3 linked regions of the Rattus norvegicus genome follow. The protein of the gene in region 1 purifies or fractionates together with the protein of each later gene. This does not show direct contact. Links are inferred from orthologs where the notes say so. Each region holds a gene or a part of one and is shown in the gene's direction. Other genes may lie near its edges.

The links.
Region 2: the proteins of Mettl9 (region 1) and Slc39a10 purify together in Homo sapiens (co-immunoprecipitation; 3 studies listed by BioGRID and IntAct, with this or other methods). This does not show direct contact. The link is inferred for Rattus norvegicus from reciprocal best matches to the Homo sapiens genes METTL9 and SLC39A10.
Region 3: the proteins of Mettl9 (region 1) and Slc30a5 purify together in Homo sapiens (co-immunoprecipitation; 3 studies listed by BioGRID and IntAct, with this or other methods). This does not show direct contact. The link is inferred for Rattus norvegicus from reciprocal best matches to the Homo sapiens genes METTL9 and SLC30A5.

Annotation. Positions count from the first base shown.
Region 1 is NC_086019.1:185,006,939-185,013,139, forward strand, and holds the start of Mettl9 (protein-L-histidine N-pros-methyltransferase precursor), read left to right. Parts: upstream 1-2,377; coding exon 2,378-2,542; intron 2,543-3,947; coding exon of another isoform or gene 3,948-3,949; intron 3,950-6,201. UniProt on the Homo sapiens protein: Protein-histidine N-methyltransferase that specifically catalyzes 1-methylhistidine (pros-methylhistidine) methylation of target proteins.
Region 2 is NC_086027.1:62,403,318-62,409,325, forward strand, and holds the start of Slc39a10 (zinc transporter ZIP10 precursor), read left to right. Parts: upstream 1-2,115; 5' UTR 2,116-2,703; intron 2,704-6,008. UniProt on the Homo sapiens protein: Zinc-influx transporter. When associated with SLC39A6, the heterodimer formed by SLC39A10 and SLC39A6 mediates cellular zinc uptake to trigger cells to undergo epithelial-to-mesenchymal transition (EMT).
Region 3 is NC_086020.1:33,706,006-33,712,004, reverse strand, and holds the start of Slc30a5 (proton-coupled zinc antiporter SLC30A5), read left to right. Parts: upstream 1-2,106; 5' UTR 2,107-2,255; coding exon 2,256-2,332; intron 2,333-5,999. UniProt on the Homo sapiens protein: Together with SLC30A6 forms a functional proton-coupled zinc ion antiporter mediating zinc entry into the lumen of organelles along the secretory pathway.

The DNA of each region.
Region 1 (6,201 bases):
ATGAAAAGGAAAGAAGGGTTAAAGAGAGAGGATGAAGGGGAGGGGGAGGTAAGGGAAGAGTTGGGGGAAGTTGCTTAAGAAACAAGCTACTTGCCTGGGTATTTGTAAAGTAACCGAGCCACAATTTCTGGTAATAGAACAGAAACCCAGGCAAGACACTCGAAGTCAGCAGGCACAAGACAGCAGGTATGTGACTCTTGAGTGCCACTGCCTACACTTCAAAACCACATTGGAAAGGATATTGGCTCACAGTTGGCTTTCTGTATTAGAGGTGCCTCTTGCTGTTCCCATCATGGATAACTGAGGTTTTAATGTACAGTAGTGACATGGTAAGAGGGGGCTGTCCCAGAGGGCAATCTGAACTTCTGCTTGGTATATTTACTCTTGCAGCTTTCCTTCCTCCTGATTTGTAATTCAGGAGGCTGAGAGGAGAGACGACAAGGCTTCTTGGATGGATCAAGCAGCCAGAAGCGGGGATGCCACCCTCTTTAAGAAGGTTTGCTATCGAATTTGCTTTTAATTTGCTTATGCTGTGCTTTCATTTCCTCCTGTGCTCCCTAAATGTAAATCACACAAATAGTTTGTGATTGTAGTGTAGTTTGAATGTGAGGGTAATTTACTTTTTCCTAGGTGAGCTGCTCAGGCATAAAGCAAAATTTGGTAGGCTTTTTAACTGTCAGTTGATCTCAAATTCTTTGGTTCTTGTTTAGAGGACACATTTTGAGGTCTTGGAGCTGTGGTTAAGCAAGCTTAATGTACAGTTAAGGCACAGTTCTCTGTATTCTTTGTCTTTAGTAATGAAGTGTGCCTGGTTATGCACGCTTGTTGCTTTGCATCTCCTCTTTACCTAAAAAAGATGAGGACTCTGATTTGGTACAGAAGAACTTTATTGGAGCTCAAAGAGGTGACATAATACAGTCATTTGCACTCACTATTATAGCTTCTTTTATGTATGTTGGACCAGTACTTCTGGAAAGTTGAGCATAATTTAGCAAGGTTTAGTCTTTGGTTTTATACCTAACAGGGAGATGTCAGGGAATATACCAGAATGAGAGAATATGAAGTATTTTGTTATATTCTATGCACATTAGGTAATAAAATATTCTTAATATGGAAAGAAGGCAGAGATTCTTTAACACCTAAAGAGTTTGTGGTAAGGGGTGACATTTCTCATCTCTGGGACACTATTTCATAAATGGAAATCTCATTAATGTAGTGTGATGAAATTAATATAAAGATGAATTGTTTTATACTAAAGAATGTACAGAATCTCTGGTGCTGTCAAATGAAAATCGTGTTTTTCCAAACCTAGGAAGATGTGAGTAGCTGGGCTAGGAAATATGTTACTCTCTAGTTGTAGCTTAGTAACAACAGGAAGTTGAGACACAGGAACCCTCAGTTTAGAAACATTGGGCTTCTTCCCGCTATAAATGATCTAAGAAACATCTGGCTACATCTCCCCAGACTGAGTGCCTGGCCCAACTTCTGTCAGCTCAAGGAAACAAGGAAAGTTGTGGCCTTTGTTGTCGAAAAGTTGTTATTTTCCATCACATTTCACTGAGTGCTCCAGCAGCATCAGCTTCCAACAAAGCAGAGCTTCCATTCATGAAGGCTTCATGTGAAGACCTGTGACAGCAGCTCCTCAGGCTTAGGAATGCTGGGGCTGGGAGTAGCAGTGAGGTCCTTTTTCCCCTAGATTCTCCGCTACCGGGTGGTTTTTTGAGTTGGGAGTCAGGTTCGCTGACCCCAGACAGAATTATTAAATAGACATGACTGTAGCAAGAAGGGCAGCGCTGGTCTGTCGAATTAAGCTGGGTCTGAGTGTATCACGACTCGGGAAAGGGATGAGGTCCCTTCGTCCTCGAGTCAGTGTGAACATTTAGGTCAAAGGAGTAGTCGAGGGGCCCATTGGGTAGTTATTACTAAGGCAAGGAAAGACCGGAAGTCCTGCAGGCCCTCCTCGGAGCGTCAAGAGTCCAGTAACCCCTGTAAGAAGTCTCCCCCAACCTTCCGCCATTATGAGTCCAGGCGGCGCCACGGAGAACGTATACGCCCTTTCTTCCACCTCCCGGGCCTCCCCGTCTCCGCTCATTGGGCAGGGAGAACGCCCCTCCTGCATTTGTACGTGCACCGGGTGGAAACCGGAGCTGGAGTCCTTGGCGTTCCGGGTCGGGAAGGGCCGCGGGGGACGTGAGAAGGCCGTGCGCCTGCCGCTCCTCCCACCTCCCCGCCTCGGCCCCGAAGGGGGCTGCACGGGCGACTTGGCGGCGATGGCTCGAGCTCCGGCGGCGACGACGGTGGCCGGAGGCGGCGGCTCCTCCTCCTCCTCCTGGGCTTGGGCCCGGCGGTGATCCGAGCTGGCGGCCGCGGCCCCCCGATGAGACTGTTGGCGGGCTGGCTGTGCCTGAGCCTGGCGTCCGTGTGGCTGGCGCGGAGGATGTGGACGCTGCGGAGCCCGCTCTCCCGCTCTCTGTACGTGAACATGACTAGCGGCCCTGGCGGGCCAGCGGCGGCCACGGGCGGCGGGAAGGACACGCACCAGGTACTGGGCCGCGGCCCTGCGGAGCGGGGGCGTGGCGCTCGGCCTTCCCGCGCTCGGCCGGGCCATTGTGCGGGGCGGCGCGCGCGGGCCTCGGCCCCAGCCTCTCACAAACTTTTCCGGGCCCGGGCGCTGGCCCAGCGGCGCCTTTTGTTTGGCGGCGCGGGCGGGGGACAGCCTTTGCTGCCTGGCTCCCCAGGCCCCAGCGTGGGCGCCCCGGAGCCCCGCATTGTTCCAGGCCGTCCGCCGCGTCCTCGCCGGGCGTCCGCGTCTGGCCTCCGGACCCGAGCAACTTTGGGGTGGGCCACACAACTGGCACAGGGGCCTGAGCAGAAAACCGCCCCAGCCCTCCTCTCCCTCAGAGGAACAAAACCCGAAAGCCGGTCTCTTTTTGTCTAGCCGACTCTCTGGATATACAAAGGGTTATAAAGACATTTAACTGGGCCTCGTGAACGTTTCGACTGACATTTCCCCGAAGCACTTAAAAAATGTGTTTGACAGGTCTGGGCTCCCAGCCTAGGAACCCTCCTCCCCCTCTGCCTATGAGACGTGTCCTTTAAACTTGGGTTTAGTTAGCTGACCAGAAAGGTTGGAAGGAGGAGCAAGATGATGCAAGCTTTAGAGGGAGAGGTTTTTACAATCTGAACTTTACAGCTGTGAATTCCTGTAGTTATGGATTGTGAGCCGTGGTGGGGTGCGGAGGGGAGGGGGGGTTCTACCAGTAGGATGGGTTTGGATGGTCTTTTCCTTAGCTATTTCTACCACTTAAAGAAACATACATGGGTCAGCTGTTGAATTAAGAGGGAGATATTTGACTGTAAGTAGTTTGTGGTTAACCTTGCAGTCACAGAAGAGAAGAAGCCTTTGAATTTAGACAAACTTTGGGCTTCTAAATGCCCGAGTTTAGTACATCTTGTTTTACAGAGAGATGTAAGGAATTATTCCTCGTGTCATTTGAACCTCACCTTTTTATGTATAAAAGTAGCATTATGGTTTTATTTGCTAAGTACTGGGTTGTGTTGTTTTTTATGATGTTGGGATGGAACTCAGGTCCTGGAAACTTGATCAATACTCAGACTTCATTTTCTATTTTGGAAGGAATCCTAGATTTACATTATTTTAAATTCCCTAGTGATCGTGGTGTTTTAGATGACCTTTATGTGGGTCTGTTGGGAGTGCATATAAACTTAGTATACAATCTTAAATTGTATAACCATGCTTTTTGCCACGGACTATTTTATGGTGGCTCAGTGTCATAGAGACAACTCTGAAGTACTACACTGGTAATTATACAGGATCAGGTGCCTCTTGCCCATGTGGTACAAGAACTTGGAAATGCTGTGTTTAACATGGAGTGGATAGAAAAAAATGATTATTCCCTATGAGGAATTATGGTTGAGTCTCCCAGTTGTTGGTATTTATGATAACACTTGTGATTACTGCAGTGGCTTGATTTAAGTGGTCATAAACATTGTGCTTATGGGATGGCTCAGTAGTTAAGAGAATGTGCTGTTCAATTTTCAGTACCTACATCAGACAGCTCACAACTCTAACTCCAGCTCCTGCAGGATTGGAAATCTCTGGACCTCTTTAGCACATGAGTGTGTGCACGTGGACACACACAATATTTTTTTAAAAAAACTTTTAAAATTGAACTTATTTTAAAAACTGAAAAATTAGTTACTGTAGAGCCCAGGAGAAATGGTGGCAGTGAACACAATCTCAGTGTTTCCCAGTAGAGGGCATTTTCTAACTGCATACGTTCGTTTATTTCTGTGGTGTTGAGGATCAAACTCAGGACTTGTACATGCTAGACAAGTACTGTACCACTGAGCCACATCCATAGTCAGTCAGTCAGTCAGTCAGTCAGTCAGTCAGTCAGTCTGTAATTTTGAAACAGGGCCATGTAGCTCTGGCTGGCCTAGTACTTCTATGTAGTCCAGGCTGACTTTGAACTCAAAGCAATTTCTGTCTCAGTTTCCAGAATGCTAGAATTACAGGTGTTCCATGATCATGGCTGGCTGCTCTTTGGCTGTTTATTTTGTTTGTTTTTCTAGATAGGGTTTCTCTGTGTGGCTCTGGGTATCCTGGAACTCAATTAGTAGATGAGGCTGATACTGAACTCAGAGATCTGCTTACCTCTGCCTCTTATGTGCTAGGATTAAAGGCACGCACCACCTGGCTACCCTTAGTTTTTTGAGACAGGGACTGTGTAGCTCAGGATGACATCAGAATAACATCAGGATGACATCCCTTTGCCTTGGCCTTCTGAGTACTGGGATTATTTTAAGTGTGCATCATTATACTCTGCCAGACATTATTTTTGAGGTGAATACATTTGTTAGGAAAATGTCTGTGAGTAAAGAGGAAAATGACCAGGACGAAAGTGCGTGCCTAGAAGCCACCAAGAACTAATGCAGAGTGGGAGGGTGTCCTTTCTGCACCCCAGCAGAGCATATGGTTTATTTCTTTTATATTCCAGAATCCTGGTTTGCTACATAACTTTCTTGCTTGTGAAGTAGCTTTAATGGCTTCCCCTCTTCAAATTAATAGTTTTATAGAGGTTTTCTGGTGTTCATTTGGGTGTGTGGGTTCCAAGGCCAGCAGCATCTGGTTCTGTTGGAGTTTCATGAAAGAAGAATTATGGGCTACCCCATACTCAGCACAGGTTTCCTTGGAGTGTCTTAGGAAGGACTTAGGCTGCAGGGTTTTGGTAATGTTTAGTCATTAAACATTGCTGTGGAGTAGTTAGAGCTAGAGATCAAGGCTCAAGGTAAACAAGGGCTTAACTTGAAGACTCAGTACCTCAGTCCAGTGTACGAACTTCAGAACTGAGTTAGGCTTTACCTTGTGAGGAGCAAGGGCTCCTTTGGAGAAGGGGCATGACCAGACTAGTCTCACTGACTTAAGTGGCCTGTGAATTAAGAATAGTCTCATGTTTTTAAGTGGTTAACAGTGGGTGTGGAAAATAGTATTTTGTAACATGAGAATTTCACATATGAAATTCAAGTGTCAGAGTTTTTGTTGAAACAGCCACCACATTGGTTCAGCTATGGTCTGTACCCCTGAGTGTGTGTGTGTGCAGGGTGAAGACATAGAGTTGAGTAATCAGTGAGCAACAGTATCTTCTCTGCCCTTTTAAAAGTATATAGCTTTTAAAATCTGTTTAAATTAAAAATCTGTTTATTCCTCCCAAGAGAAAATTCCTGACTTCATTGGTCACCTGTACAATTCTCAGTCACAGGATGGGAGGATGGACTCTGGGGGGAAAGAGAGAGTAGCAAGAGCTAGATGTCACTTGTCATTGTCAGCCCACAGAACATAAAAAAGAGAACAACACAAAACCTTTGGATGAAGTGCTTTGAGTGCATTCTACCTAGTGCTTGCAGCTAAGGAGCTATTATGGAGCTATTGAAACTTGAAAGGCTCCTCAAGGCTCCAGTTACTAGATACTTGGTAATAACAGTCATCCACAGCCTCTCAATTGACGGATCGAAAGGTTGTTGTAAAACATGTTGGCACCAAGCCGTTGCAGTTTCCTCAGGTGAAAAATTTCAAATTGTTTTTCCACATATGGCATTTAATATCTGGAATTATTTAGAGGTCACTTAAAATTGCAAGTTACATATATACCTGGTATTTATATAAGCTTAGAATTGCTG
Region 2 (6,008 bases), on another chromosome or scaffold:
CTCTTGAGAAACAGGAAGATCTGCAGAGCTGGGATTTCACCCTCAAGTATGAATACAGAGCCTCTAGAAATGATGGGTAACTGTTAGTTTGAAGCCTACATTCAGATCTGTGCTTATAGGTCCCTGACACCTTCCCTTCCCAGGTCTTAAATATCTATTCCTGTGCTCGGTGCCTTGGTTTGCACTCCGTTTACTCTTCTTCTCTTAATGATTTCTCTAGGCTGATCCAAACCTATTCGGAAAATCAGTGTTTAGATTCAACCGAATTCAAGTAGTTTTGTTTTTTTAAATCATTCGTTATTAGTAATCTTGATTCATGAAGAGAACAGCTGAGTTGGAAAGGTCTGATTCCGTGGACTCTGTCCTGCCCTTTGTAGATTTCATTACCACCGTAACTGTGCTGTGGATGGGAAGCACTTTCTCCAAAATTAGAAGGAAAGCTGGGCCTCCGCCGTGGGCTTCCCTTAGTGACAGTTAAAGTCCAAGGTGGGCTGTGATTCATATTTCCATTGTTATAGTTGGCTCTTTTCTAATCCTTGGAAGAACTAAAGGGTTCGTTGGGTTCCTTATACTGCCTCATAGAGGTAAAACGGGTACCTTTAAATTTCAGATACATATACATGAAATAATGCTGTGACTGAAGCTTTAGCCCTCTAGTTGCCACAATGTGGAATTCTGGAAAATTTTGAAAGGACCGTGAGAGATTGGGGAGTATGGAAGAATCCCACTAACGGCTGTGGCTGTTGATTGCTTTTCATGGCCACACTTCAGTGTTTAACCGAGTATTTAGATAAACCTGTGCAAACCAGGTGAACACTTGGTTTGTAAGCAAATATCCCCAAAACACTGGTGGTGCTGGGAACACTGGCTCAAGAGCTCTAGCTTGTTTGGAAGGTGTTATATATTTTAAAGAAGTTGACAATGTGTTTTATCAGATAATTACAAGCCTTAAAATATCACGGCAATTTGGATATTTTTATGCTTTGCACCAAAAGGATCTACTGATAAATCCTGTATAACTGAAGTCATTACTGTTTGTGTAATCCCCAGATTAACTCCTGGGTTTGAGGACTGTGGTCACTCCACCATCTTCTTCCACTAAGGGCAAGGCCTCATGACTTCTCAGAATGTCTTCCTTTGGCAGCCGGAGTTAGGTCATGGATTGGTTGGCTTCTCCATGTGAGAGAAAGAGGGATATGAGAAGCTCAATGTGCTTTCAGTCAGATATTTATTGAGCACCTGGAAGCTGTTTCATACACAGGTAAAAACAAAAGGCAAACAGCTTCTTTCAAGGAGTTCGAGGCTGCCAGACAGGCCGCGGTAGCCATGCTGAATAGGTTTGGCTCTCTATGCCTCTCTATGCCTCTCCTCAGTTCTCTCAGGCAAGTTCCTTATTCCCTAGGACTTTACTTCCTGGGTAATCATTCTTCAGTCTGTTAGGAGTATTAAATTAATATACATGGAAAGCATGTTGAAGGTACCTGACACATAAAGCTGGCAATTACTATTGCTCAGAGTTATATGCACCCTGTTGGTCCATAAAGCACCCACCCCCAGAATTCACTTTCACTAGTAAGTGCGCTCAGCTTGAATACAGAAACACAGGCTTCTGGGCAGAATACAAATAAGCCTAGACATGAATTAAAAGCCAGGAAGCAGAGCAATGAATAATGAAGCAAAAGGTTTGCCCAGCCTCCTTTTAAGAAAATTGTGGGTTGTTAGTTGCTTAAGAGGGGAGGAGGCCATTGAGAATGGCGGTGTGAGCAAAGGGATGCAAGAACCGGCAGGATGTAGGCATGAGTCCACCGGTGTTGCTGGGTGGATCGGGGTCTTGCCTTTGGGTGTAAAACTGTTCCAGTAGTTAAGGTTGGGGAAAGTCCTTGGATGGGTACCCAAAGCTATCATAATTACGTGACACTTTTAAAGTCAACACCTTTCTGTTCAGGAAAACCCATTGTAAGTGCTCTTTAAATGGGGGTGCGGTGGGGGGAGTTATGCAAAACACTTTGCACAAAGCACCAAAGTTTAGTTTTGCCCAGACTGGCACGGTTGCTGGGGCAGAGGGGGCGGAGTTAATTTAATATAGTTGTTTAACCCGCGTACAGATCAGTAAACCTAATTGATCTCTCCGAAACTCTGGCCTAGGACGCTCGCTTTCCGGGCTTCTATGTCTCATCCGCTAGCCCAAGGCCTCAGCAACCTACGTGCGAGGCCAGGAGAGGCGACCAAGGCCGCTCCACGCATGCGTTAGAAGCCGCCCCAACTGCCCCCAAGGAGTCCTTTCTCCGAACAAAACTAGCGCGGAGCTACAGGGCTCCGCAACTTGCGTAGATATAATTTCTTCCAGTTCCGCCTGCCGGTGTAGCTCCCCCGGTGCCGCGGCTCTCCTACGCCAGGCGCGTCCGCGAAGTGGATGGCTGGACGCTGCGAGTGCGCCGCCGGCGTAGCGCTGATCAGGCCGAGGTGCGACTGCGCAGGGCACCCGAGAGGGCTGGGTGCGCCGCTGGCGTAGAGCTGAGGCAGCCAGGGTGCGGCTGCGCAGGGCGCCAGAACAGACTGAGTGCGCCGCCGGCGTAGAGCGCCGGCTCGCGCACTAGGCTCCGCGACGCAGATAGCGCAGGCGGCTTTGGAGAATACACGACTGGGTGCAGCCGGGGTTTGGTACCGAGCGGAGAGGAGATGCACACGGCACTCGAGTGTGAGGTAACTATAAAACCCCGATTTGTTTACATTCCCTCCCCCAGAACCGGCCCCGTGCGCGGCGGAGCCTGGGAGTCCCGGGACGGCAGGGGAGGCCGGGCTGGGGCTGGCACCGGGGCCTCCGGGCTGGGGCTCGTGTGTTCGCAGCTGCTGCAGGCGGTGGCGGCGAGCAGGAGAGCAGCGCGTGGGGCTGGGACCAGCCGAGTGCGCCGCGGGCGGCGGTGGGGACCCGTGTCCCTCGGCCTGCTGCGGGGACGCGGGGCGGGTGGCGCCTGTTGAGGGCTGCGCGGGCTTCCCGCGGCCGCCGTACGGGGACCCGGGACCCGAGGCAGGTCCCAGGGGCTCGTCTGCGGGGGGTAACGGACGGCGGCCGCTCAGCTCCGGGCCAACCGAAAAGGCTCGATGGAGCGCGCGGGAGCTGTGGCGCAGTCCACCGGTCCCCGAGCCCTGGTCGTGAGACGACCGTGGCCCGGCCGCGGGCTTTGTTCCCGGGCACCAGGGTGTAGGGCGGCGTGGGCGCGGTTGGGAGCGGAGGGAAGTGGCCGGCCCGCCGCGGGGTCCGCATCCGCTCCACGCCTCGCTCCTCCCTTGGGGGGTCTTCGGAACTCCCCAGCCTGGCGAGGCGTCGGGTGGCGTGACGTGGAAGGGCTTCCTGCGGCTTCTGAGAAGACGCGTTCACGTGGGAGCCTGTCCACATGGGCCGAGTTTAAGGAGCTGGGCACGTGGAAGAAATCTCACCGCAGGACGCCCCACCACCGATTTGGAAGGGTCCTTCACCAAAGTGTCTGCTCCAAGTGACACAAAGCATGAGTTAACAGACAGTACAACCTACCGTCTTCTAGAAACTTACATTTATGTCTCCATTGTTAAGTGCGGTAACTAGCGGGTGACAGGTTTCTTGTATGTTTTCTTTTTGGATGTGTATCTAACGATAATTAAGAAAAAAGTAATACAAGAGCTGGAGGCTTAGAATTGTAACAGTGCCGTTGGGAAGCCTAAACAAAGCAAAACTGCGGTGTACAGAGTAATGTCAGGATTCCCCTATTCTACACTTACCTTGTGAGTCATTTCTCCTGGACCTTGGGAATCCACCCCCCACACCCCCACTTCCGGTGTGCTTTGGACGTTACACCAGGGCGAAAGACATCAGTGAAATGCTGTGAAGGAAATAAAATGTGCTGGTGGGCATTTTTTAACATTTTATGTCTTCTAGACTGAAGGGTTTTTCATCGTGACTTTAGATAGGTAAGGATACATCTCTATAGTTGTTGATTTACCTTGAAACAGTTATGGGGAAACTACATGGTTTGATGGAGTAAACCATGCTTTAATAAAACATTAAATATCAACTGTACTGGCCTGCCTAATAATGACTAACTTTAAACTAGCAAGAATTAAAAACTATACTTGAAGGATTTAAGTGTTTTTGTATCACTGATTTTGGCCTAGAAACAGGAAGTTACTTCCTCACTAGAAAGTAACTGAATTTCAGTGGTTTTAATCTCTCCCCAAATTGACAAAACTGAATTCTTTCAACTAATCATGGTTAGGAACCCATGTTCAAGAATAAATGGTTTTGGCGCTACTTTGAAAGAGAATTTCTCGGGTGGTACATAAGGCACAGACATAAACCCAGCTACGGGGGACTGAGGAAGGAAGCTGGCAAGTTCGCGTCCCGGAGCTTGTCTTAAAAGTTAAGTAAAATAACTCAGTGGTAGGAAACTTACCCGGGGTTTGCACAAATCTAGGCTTAATCGTTAGTACTGCAGATAATGGAGATGTTCAAGCTTAAGTGTATGTATCACGAGCTATGCAAGTGAATACCCTTTTCACGAAGTGTTCAGGACCGGAAGTGTCGCCAACTTCTGGTTGTGAGTTGGGAGATACTTGGATATATTAAATAATGGAGAATTTCTTGGTCAAGGACCCAATTCTAAACATGAGTTCAACGTTTAATTTGTATGAGCCAGTGTACTTAGACCGAAGGTAATTTTACAACCTTTTCCCTGAGGTTGAGTTTGACCGAGGCCTATCAAGACACAATCCCTGCATTTTAGTTCCCAGAACATTGTAGATTTTATAACGAGGCGCTGCCTGCATTAGGTCTTCCTTCTTATAGCCTTAGTCCACTAATAGATTGTAAACTACTGTCCTCATCCCGCTTTTTTGTCCAGACTTTTGGTTTTTCTCAGTGCCGTCCCTGTGTAGCTCAGGTGTGCCTGGAACTCATAGATCACCTTCCTCAGTCTTTGAGGTTACCCTCGGCTCTCAGCAGACTTTAAACCCTGGTTGAAGTACTTTGAGAAGGCCTAATGTTTAGCATGCAAGCATTGCTCTAGGAAACCCCCAAACCTCCCTCTTTTTTGCCTGATAATTGATTAACCCTAGGATGATACTGAATGGTTTCTACTCCTTAGTCCTTTGAGAGGATACATCTTTTAAATTTGTAACTGATATGTAATAGCTGATTTGCCTTTTCTCCACTTCTTTCCTGTACTTACCTGTGTATGTTTTGGTTTCTTTACAAAGCCAGATTCCTGAAGCCTTTACCCGAATCCCTATGCCATGACACTTTCAGTTCAAACTCAGCATAGACTTAAAATCATTTGGGTAAAAATACTAGTCATCCATGTGGTGCCTACCTCAGAAGTGGAAGTACTGAGTTTTGTATCAAAAGGACTCTGTCACAGTGCTTTGGACCAATGTTAGAGAAAGACAATTGCAACTGGAAGAGAAACAGAGGCAATTAGAGCAGCTTTTGATCACAGTGATTTAATTTTAAGCCATCTTTCATTACAGTGTAATTCACATTAGAAATATACAAGAGGCTGGGGTGTGTCTTAGCAGATGACTTCCTGAATTCTATCTCTAGTCCTTAGAGCAAAATGAGTGAATACAGTCTCATATCCTCATCAGTCTTGTGTCTGAGTTGATTGCCCGGTACAATCCTCAACAGTTTGCTGCCCCCTAGTGTTCGCTTTGCTTTGACGTTTCTTGGCACCTGTCCTTAATTAGACTGCATTTCCATGGATGTACCTAGCTATGGCTTTCCACCAGCTGGTCACTGCTGCCAATAAGAAAGCATCTTCTTAAAATTGATTGTGATTACATTTAGTCCCCAGTTTTCCAAATATGGGGAAAATTGGATTGGCAGAATCACATACCCCCCGAAAGAGTGTGTAGGCTATGTTTGTTTTTAATTGCAAAAGCAGTTAAAATTAGGTAAGGGCTGGAAGTTAGCTTTGTATATGAACAGTTTCCTTTATCTAATCTGGGCTCCTTGTCTTGAAAAGAGTGGTAAACTTTTT
Region 3 (5,999 bases), on another chromosome or scaffold:
TTTTGTACACACACACACACACACACACACACACACACACACACATGCACGATACAAACAACTGCAGTGAGGGTGTGTTATATTGCCGTCTTTTACCTGCTTCATAGGAGTGTGAGTACCTATAGCTTCTCCAGACTGTACCTGCCTCGCTGCTCCGCATGTAGCATATGGAGAACCTTTCCTGAGGTCTCGGGAAAGACTGTCAACCCATGAGAGTTTCTTTGCTTTCTTCTTCCCTTCCCTTCCCCCCCCTTCTCTCTTCTTTTCCCTTCTTCTCCCTTCCCCCTCCCTCCTCCCCTCCTCTACTCCCTCCCCCTCCCTCCCTCCTCCTCTCCCCTTCCCCCTCTCCAGTGTCTCTTGTAACCAGGCAGGCCTTTAAACTCTGAGGATTTCCCTGAACTCCTGATCCTCCTCCTGGGAGGAGCACAGCACATGGCGTCGTTGTTGTTGTTGTTGTTTTTAATGTATGGATATGTATGGATATGAAATGACTTACAAACTCTTCCCTCAGCCTTCCCTGTTTATCAGATGCTATTTGGGAACCCTCGGGAGTCTACCATGTAACACCACGACAGCTAAGTCTTGCTCTAGCTTGCTAACTATTCTCCACAGCAGGTTTAAAGGCAAAAAACTTTCGGTCTGTTGCTCATATACCTGTCGCTTAGACTCTCTGTGTGTGTTCAAATCCACTAGTGTAATATCAACTGATTATGACTTATCCTGCTGCAAACCCCACTTTCCTCTTCAAAGCACCAGTCTGAACATCCTTGAGTAACAGTTAACGTGTAACAGTAACAGTTAACATTGACTGAGTAGTAGTCCACCCTGCTTACTTCCCTCTGAACAGCTTTAGAATACAGATATTCCTTCTTTCCAGGGACAGTGTGCATGTTTGTAATGCCAGCACTTGGAAGAGAAGCCAGGAGATCAGAGTTCCAGGCCATTCTTAGCTAGATATCAAGCTGAAGCCCAGCCTGGGCTACATGAGATTGGTTTCTATATAACCAAAAACAACAACGACAAAGAGGAGGAAAACTAATTGTTTATTGCTTTTCTTGTTCCTTTTGAGACAGGACATTGCCTTGTAGCCCTGGCTAGCTTAGAACTCAATGTGTAGCCCAGGCTGGCTTCAAACTGCCTCTGGCTATAATTGGGATTACAGGCATGCACCACCATGCTAACCAAGGTGACCACAATTATTAAGTATTGAGACTCAGACCAATAGAGATCTAGGTGCCTGTGAAAAATAGCTTTTATATAGATGTGTCTACATTAAGCAGTATCATTTCAAAGGCAGAACTGAAGAAAACTGTATTTTCAAAAAGGAGATAAAATTGTTTATCATCGCACACCTTCTGGGTTGGTCTCTCAGACATTTGAGCAGGTTAGCCATATAGCCAGTACTCCTGCCCAACAATTAAATCCACAAAAGCAGTTGCCTTTCTCCATTTTTTTCAGTAGACATATCCTTCCAGCCTCCCACCCTGTGTTATAGTATCATCAGAAATCAAAAAAAAAAGTTATTTCTTTGTGGGAGTCACAGGTACTTTAAGAATCTTTTAGCTTTCTCATTAGAAAAAAAAGTTAATGCACTTCACACATATTTTGAGTTTGCAGCGTCTATATGTGGCTCAGACCTGTAAATTCAATGCGCAGGTTTACAAGGCTAGCCTGGGCTACATGCTGAGTTCTAGACCTACCTGGGCTACAGAGTGAAGCCGTTTGAAAAAGAACTCTGTCGCTAAGGGCTAAGCTCTGTTTGTTAACACAAAGTGCACTTTCTAGGGGACCATCCATCCCACGCGCAAGGAGAACAAGCTGTAGCCGAGATGGACCTTAGGTGGCGCTGCAGGGACCGGTAAGGTGCTTCTCTAGAAGACGCGAGTAGGGGGCGGGTCGATCCGAGCCTTCTCTGCGGTGGGAGGAGCCTGAGCCGAGAGGAGACACGTGTCCAGCTGCGCGCACGCGCAGGATTGGTCACTCCCCCGGGAGTGAGGGCTGCCGGGGCGGATGACGTGGCCCGGTAACGTCCCTGCCCGTACGGCCTCCGGGGATCGGCGCTGCCGGAACAGCCCGCGGCCTAATCCCGCCCAACGTGCGTGCTCCTACCTGCCGAGCCCGGGCTAGCGGTGGGGACTGCTGAGCCTGAGAGGACGCGACTGAAATGGGGGAGTGACGCGCCTGCGCCCGCGCTTCCGCAGCGGCAGCAAGACATGAGGAGAGCCCGCGGCGTGGGCAGCGGCTCCTGAGCCGGCATGGAGGAGAAGTACGGCGGGGACCCGCGGCCCGGGCCCGGCGGCGGCCTCGGGCCGGTGGACGTGCCCAGCGCCCGGTAAGGAGGGATTCAACGGCCGGCGGCGGTGCGGACAAGCTTCCCCGCCTTGCTCGGACCCCGCCGGCTACCTCTACGGTCCATGGCTTGAGATCCGCGAGCGGGCGGGAGTCCGGGCTCAGAACGCACCTGAGTTTGCAGGTCCTGCCAGTTTGCAGTCCCTAGAGAGAGGACCTGAATGTTCCTCCCTGCCACTTAGGTAACGCAGAGCTCCTTAGCTTGTTCCAGGGCTCGCCGAGAGGATAAGCGGAAGGTGTCACCGTCTCAGGCGAGGAAACCAAAGTACAAGCCGATGAACTTCGGTGTACAGCACAGCAAAAATGCAACCCTGCCATCGAGTTTTCTTTGCCGTGGTTTTGTGGAGAGGGATGGGGACTTATTTTAATAGTAAGAGATATCTGTTACCCCTCTCCCCCCCCCCAAAACTCATACCGTACAGGAATTCGTAGCATGAAAATTCTTCTTTACCTTCCCTCCAACCTAAAGGCAAGGACCGAGTAGTGTACACTGGCGCGAGCCAGTTGTGTCCTTCCTGTCCTGTCCTAAGTTCGGAGGTAGTGTTAAAGCCCAAAGTTTCGTTCAAACTGATAATCAGTATGTACTCTGAGATTTCGTGATTGCTTTTGATAATGTTCTTAGACCGAGGTTACAGCGTTACCAGCTTACTTTTATCTGTGAAAAGACACATATGCTGAATAGATTTTAAACCAACTGCGGGATTTGCAGAATGCATTTGGTTTTCTATTTTCAGCAATTCATTTATAGCACGTCACGTGTTAACCAGTGACCCATAACAGCTAGTTGCAGCAGGGGCTACTGCTATGGATTGGTAATAGAGGGAAATACTAGAAGGGACAAGACTAGGTCACTTCACAAAATTGAACCATGGAGACAGATTAAAGTATCAGATCATTGTTAAATTTCCCGTTCATAACTCCTGATTTCATAGGCAGAGTTGCCATATTTTTAGGAAATAGAGATGTTTAGGGGTAAAATGTGACCATACTTCATTTATTCTCAAACAGCTCAAGGGTTTTGTGTATGAGAGGGAGGGAGTTGAGAGAGTATGAGTAGTTTAAGTGGTTTTGCCTTAGAGGCTACTGTCCTAGACAAATATGGTAAACATCCTTTGCCAACTTACCTACATTATTTGCTTAGTAGAGCTGCCCTTCTATTGTAGGTTATTTCAGAACTCAAATTTTGACCCAGAGCTGGCTGAATTTTAAGGGATTTCAGGTTGCCGGAGTTTTCTGTATGTTCAAGCACTGGTTATTAACAGCAACAAAAATGATCAGGCCCTTTCATTGTGGTTATTTTTATGCCTGAGTGCCCAAATGTTTTAAATAAAGGTTTGTATCGTGACTTCATTAAATCTTTGATGGTCAGGACAGCCAGCATTTGCCAAGTACCTCCTATGCCCCAAAGACTCTTAATGTATACCTCCCTTTAATCTTTTCAAGAACCCTACAGGCTAAGTGGTGGTAGCCTTGTTTGGTAGGTCAGGAAATTGAGTTGCCTAAGGTCACAAGGCTAATGAATGACCTGGTAGTGTGGGTTGTTTCAGAATCCATTGCCTTCTGTTTACACCTATGAATGCTTGAACATGTATTCAATGAATTGAACTGTTGTTGTTATTATACATATATATCATACTGTGGTGTCCAAGCTGGCCGCCTCCTTCCTGAGGTGTGTGAGTGCTGGCATAGACCACTGTGCATGGTCAGCAGCTTTGTTTGTATGTGAATTGTGTGCTGGTGTGGCCTGCTTTATCCCCTTGAGACAGGGTTCCTCACTGAGCCTGGAGCTAGCCTAGCAGCCCTCTGCCTCTGCAGGGCAGTGACTGCTACCCTGGCCTCATGTGAAAGCCAGGGGTTCAAGCTCACACTACACAGCAAGCACTCCTCCCCACTGAACCGGTTGAAAAGTGTTTATGTATGTATACTGTTGGGGCACCTTCTCCCTCGAGCCCCTCGATGCCTTCCTCCTCTCCTTTGATATCTAGAGACTGAGTGGCAGTGATGACTCATTTCAGGAAGGAACTATAAACTCAAATCTAAAATTTAATAATTGCAAGTACAGAGAACTGAGGAAATGTCTGACCTCATAGAAGACCAGTTACATTTTTTATTTGATCACTTCATAGCAAACAGTGATTTCTAAGTTGGGGGCTGGGTTGAATGTTCCTGCACTGCCCTGAGGCTCAGTGTCCTGTGTAAGAGCCTGTCTCCCATCCCTGTCTTCACCTGCCAATCGTTTCCCCCTTAACAGTGATTCTGTATATGGTTACTTAGCCTTAACTAGTGCTTCAAAGAACTTTAGAAGTCAAAGAATACAGAAGCTTCAGGATGTGGTAGGGCACGAGTTTAATCCCAGTGTTTGAGAGGCAGAGCGTCAGGCCAGATCTACAAAAAGAAGCCCTGACTTGAAAAAAAACACAGGAGCCAGCAAGATGGTTCAACAGGTATAGGCTCTTGCTGCCAAGACTTATGACTGAGTTTGACCCCCAGGACCCACGTGGTAGAAGGAGAGAGCCAGCTCTCACAAATTCTCTGACTTCATATGCTCTTATGCATGCATGTGTGTGCACACACATTAACAATAATAATGATAATAATATATGTAATAAGGGAATTTTTTTTTTTTGGTTCTTTTTTTTCGGTCCTGGGGACTGAACCCAGGGCCTTGCGCTTCCTAGGCAAGCGCTCTACCACTGAGCTAAATCCCCAACCCCAAGGGAATTTTTTAAATCAAAGAAGTTTAAAAGTTGAAGTGTTTTTTCCTAATTTGATAATTACAGCAAAAAGATCTTGAGTGCATATTGTATGAAAGATTTTAATATCACAATATGTGTACAACTGCAAATGTGAAGAAAATATTTGTTGACACACATAGGAACAGGTTTGTAAATTGTTTACCTGTGAGGAGAAAGCTAGAAGTGATTTTATTTAAAACCTTTCCCATAATCAGCTACTCGAGAATTAGCATTATTACCTCTCGGGTGCAATGCACATATGTATATATGAAAATAAGGTTAGTTTACTAATATATTATCAATGAGTATTTTATATGAATTCCTTCATATCTCTCCTTCAAGACCCACCTTTTAAATTTTTAATACTTTATAGAGGAATCTATAATCTTTGTAAAACAAGTATGTTAAGTGTAGTTTGGCTTTTCCTTGATTTTAATCATAAGCAATCTATTGCTAAATTAAACTAAACTGGCTAGATTGAACTAAACTTAATATACTAGGACCTTCAAGGTCTCCTGCCTAGTGCTCACATTTTTGTCTCTGCTCCTCTTTGCTCTGGCAGAGCCTTCCCTTCCCTTTTCTTGCTTAACTCTTGATTTATATTTATTGTACACATATCTTAACTGTGGAAATACCCTTTCACTTCTTTACCACATCTTTTAGAAGCATCTGTCAACTTACTTGGGTTGTGTAGTCTGTCTGTCTGTCTGTTTGTCTGTCTGTCTGCCTGTTCTTTCCTGAAGACCTGGAGCACCGTGAGGGCAGTGCCCTTGTCTTGGTTATTACACAGAATCATGGAACTGGAGAGGCTGTAACAAATAGGGATTCTATCACATGAAAGAAACCAGATTGCCCACAGCGATGCCCACCCTGGGATGGAGTCTTTATGCTTCTTCCCTGCTATTGTTTGTTCTG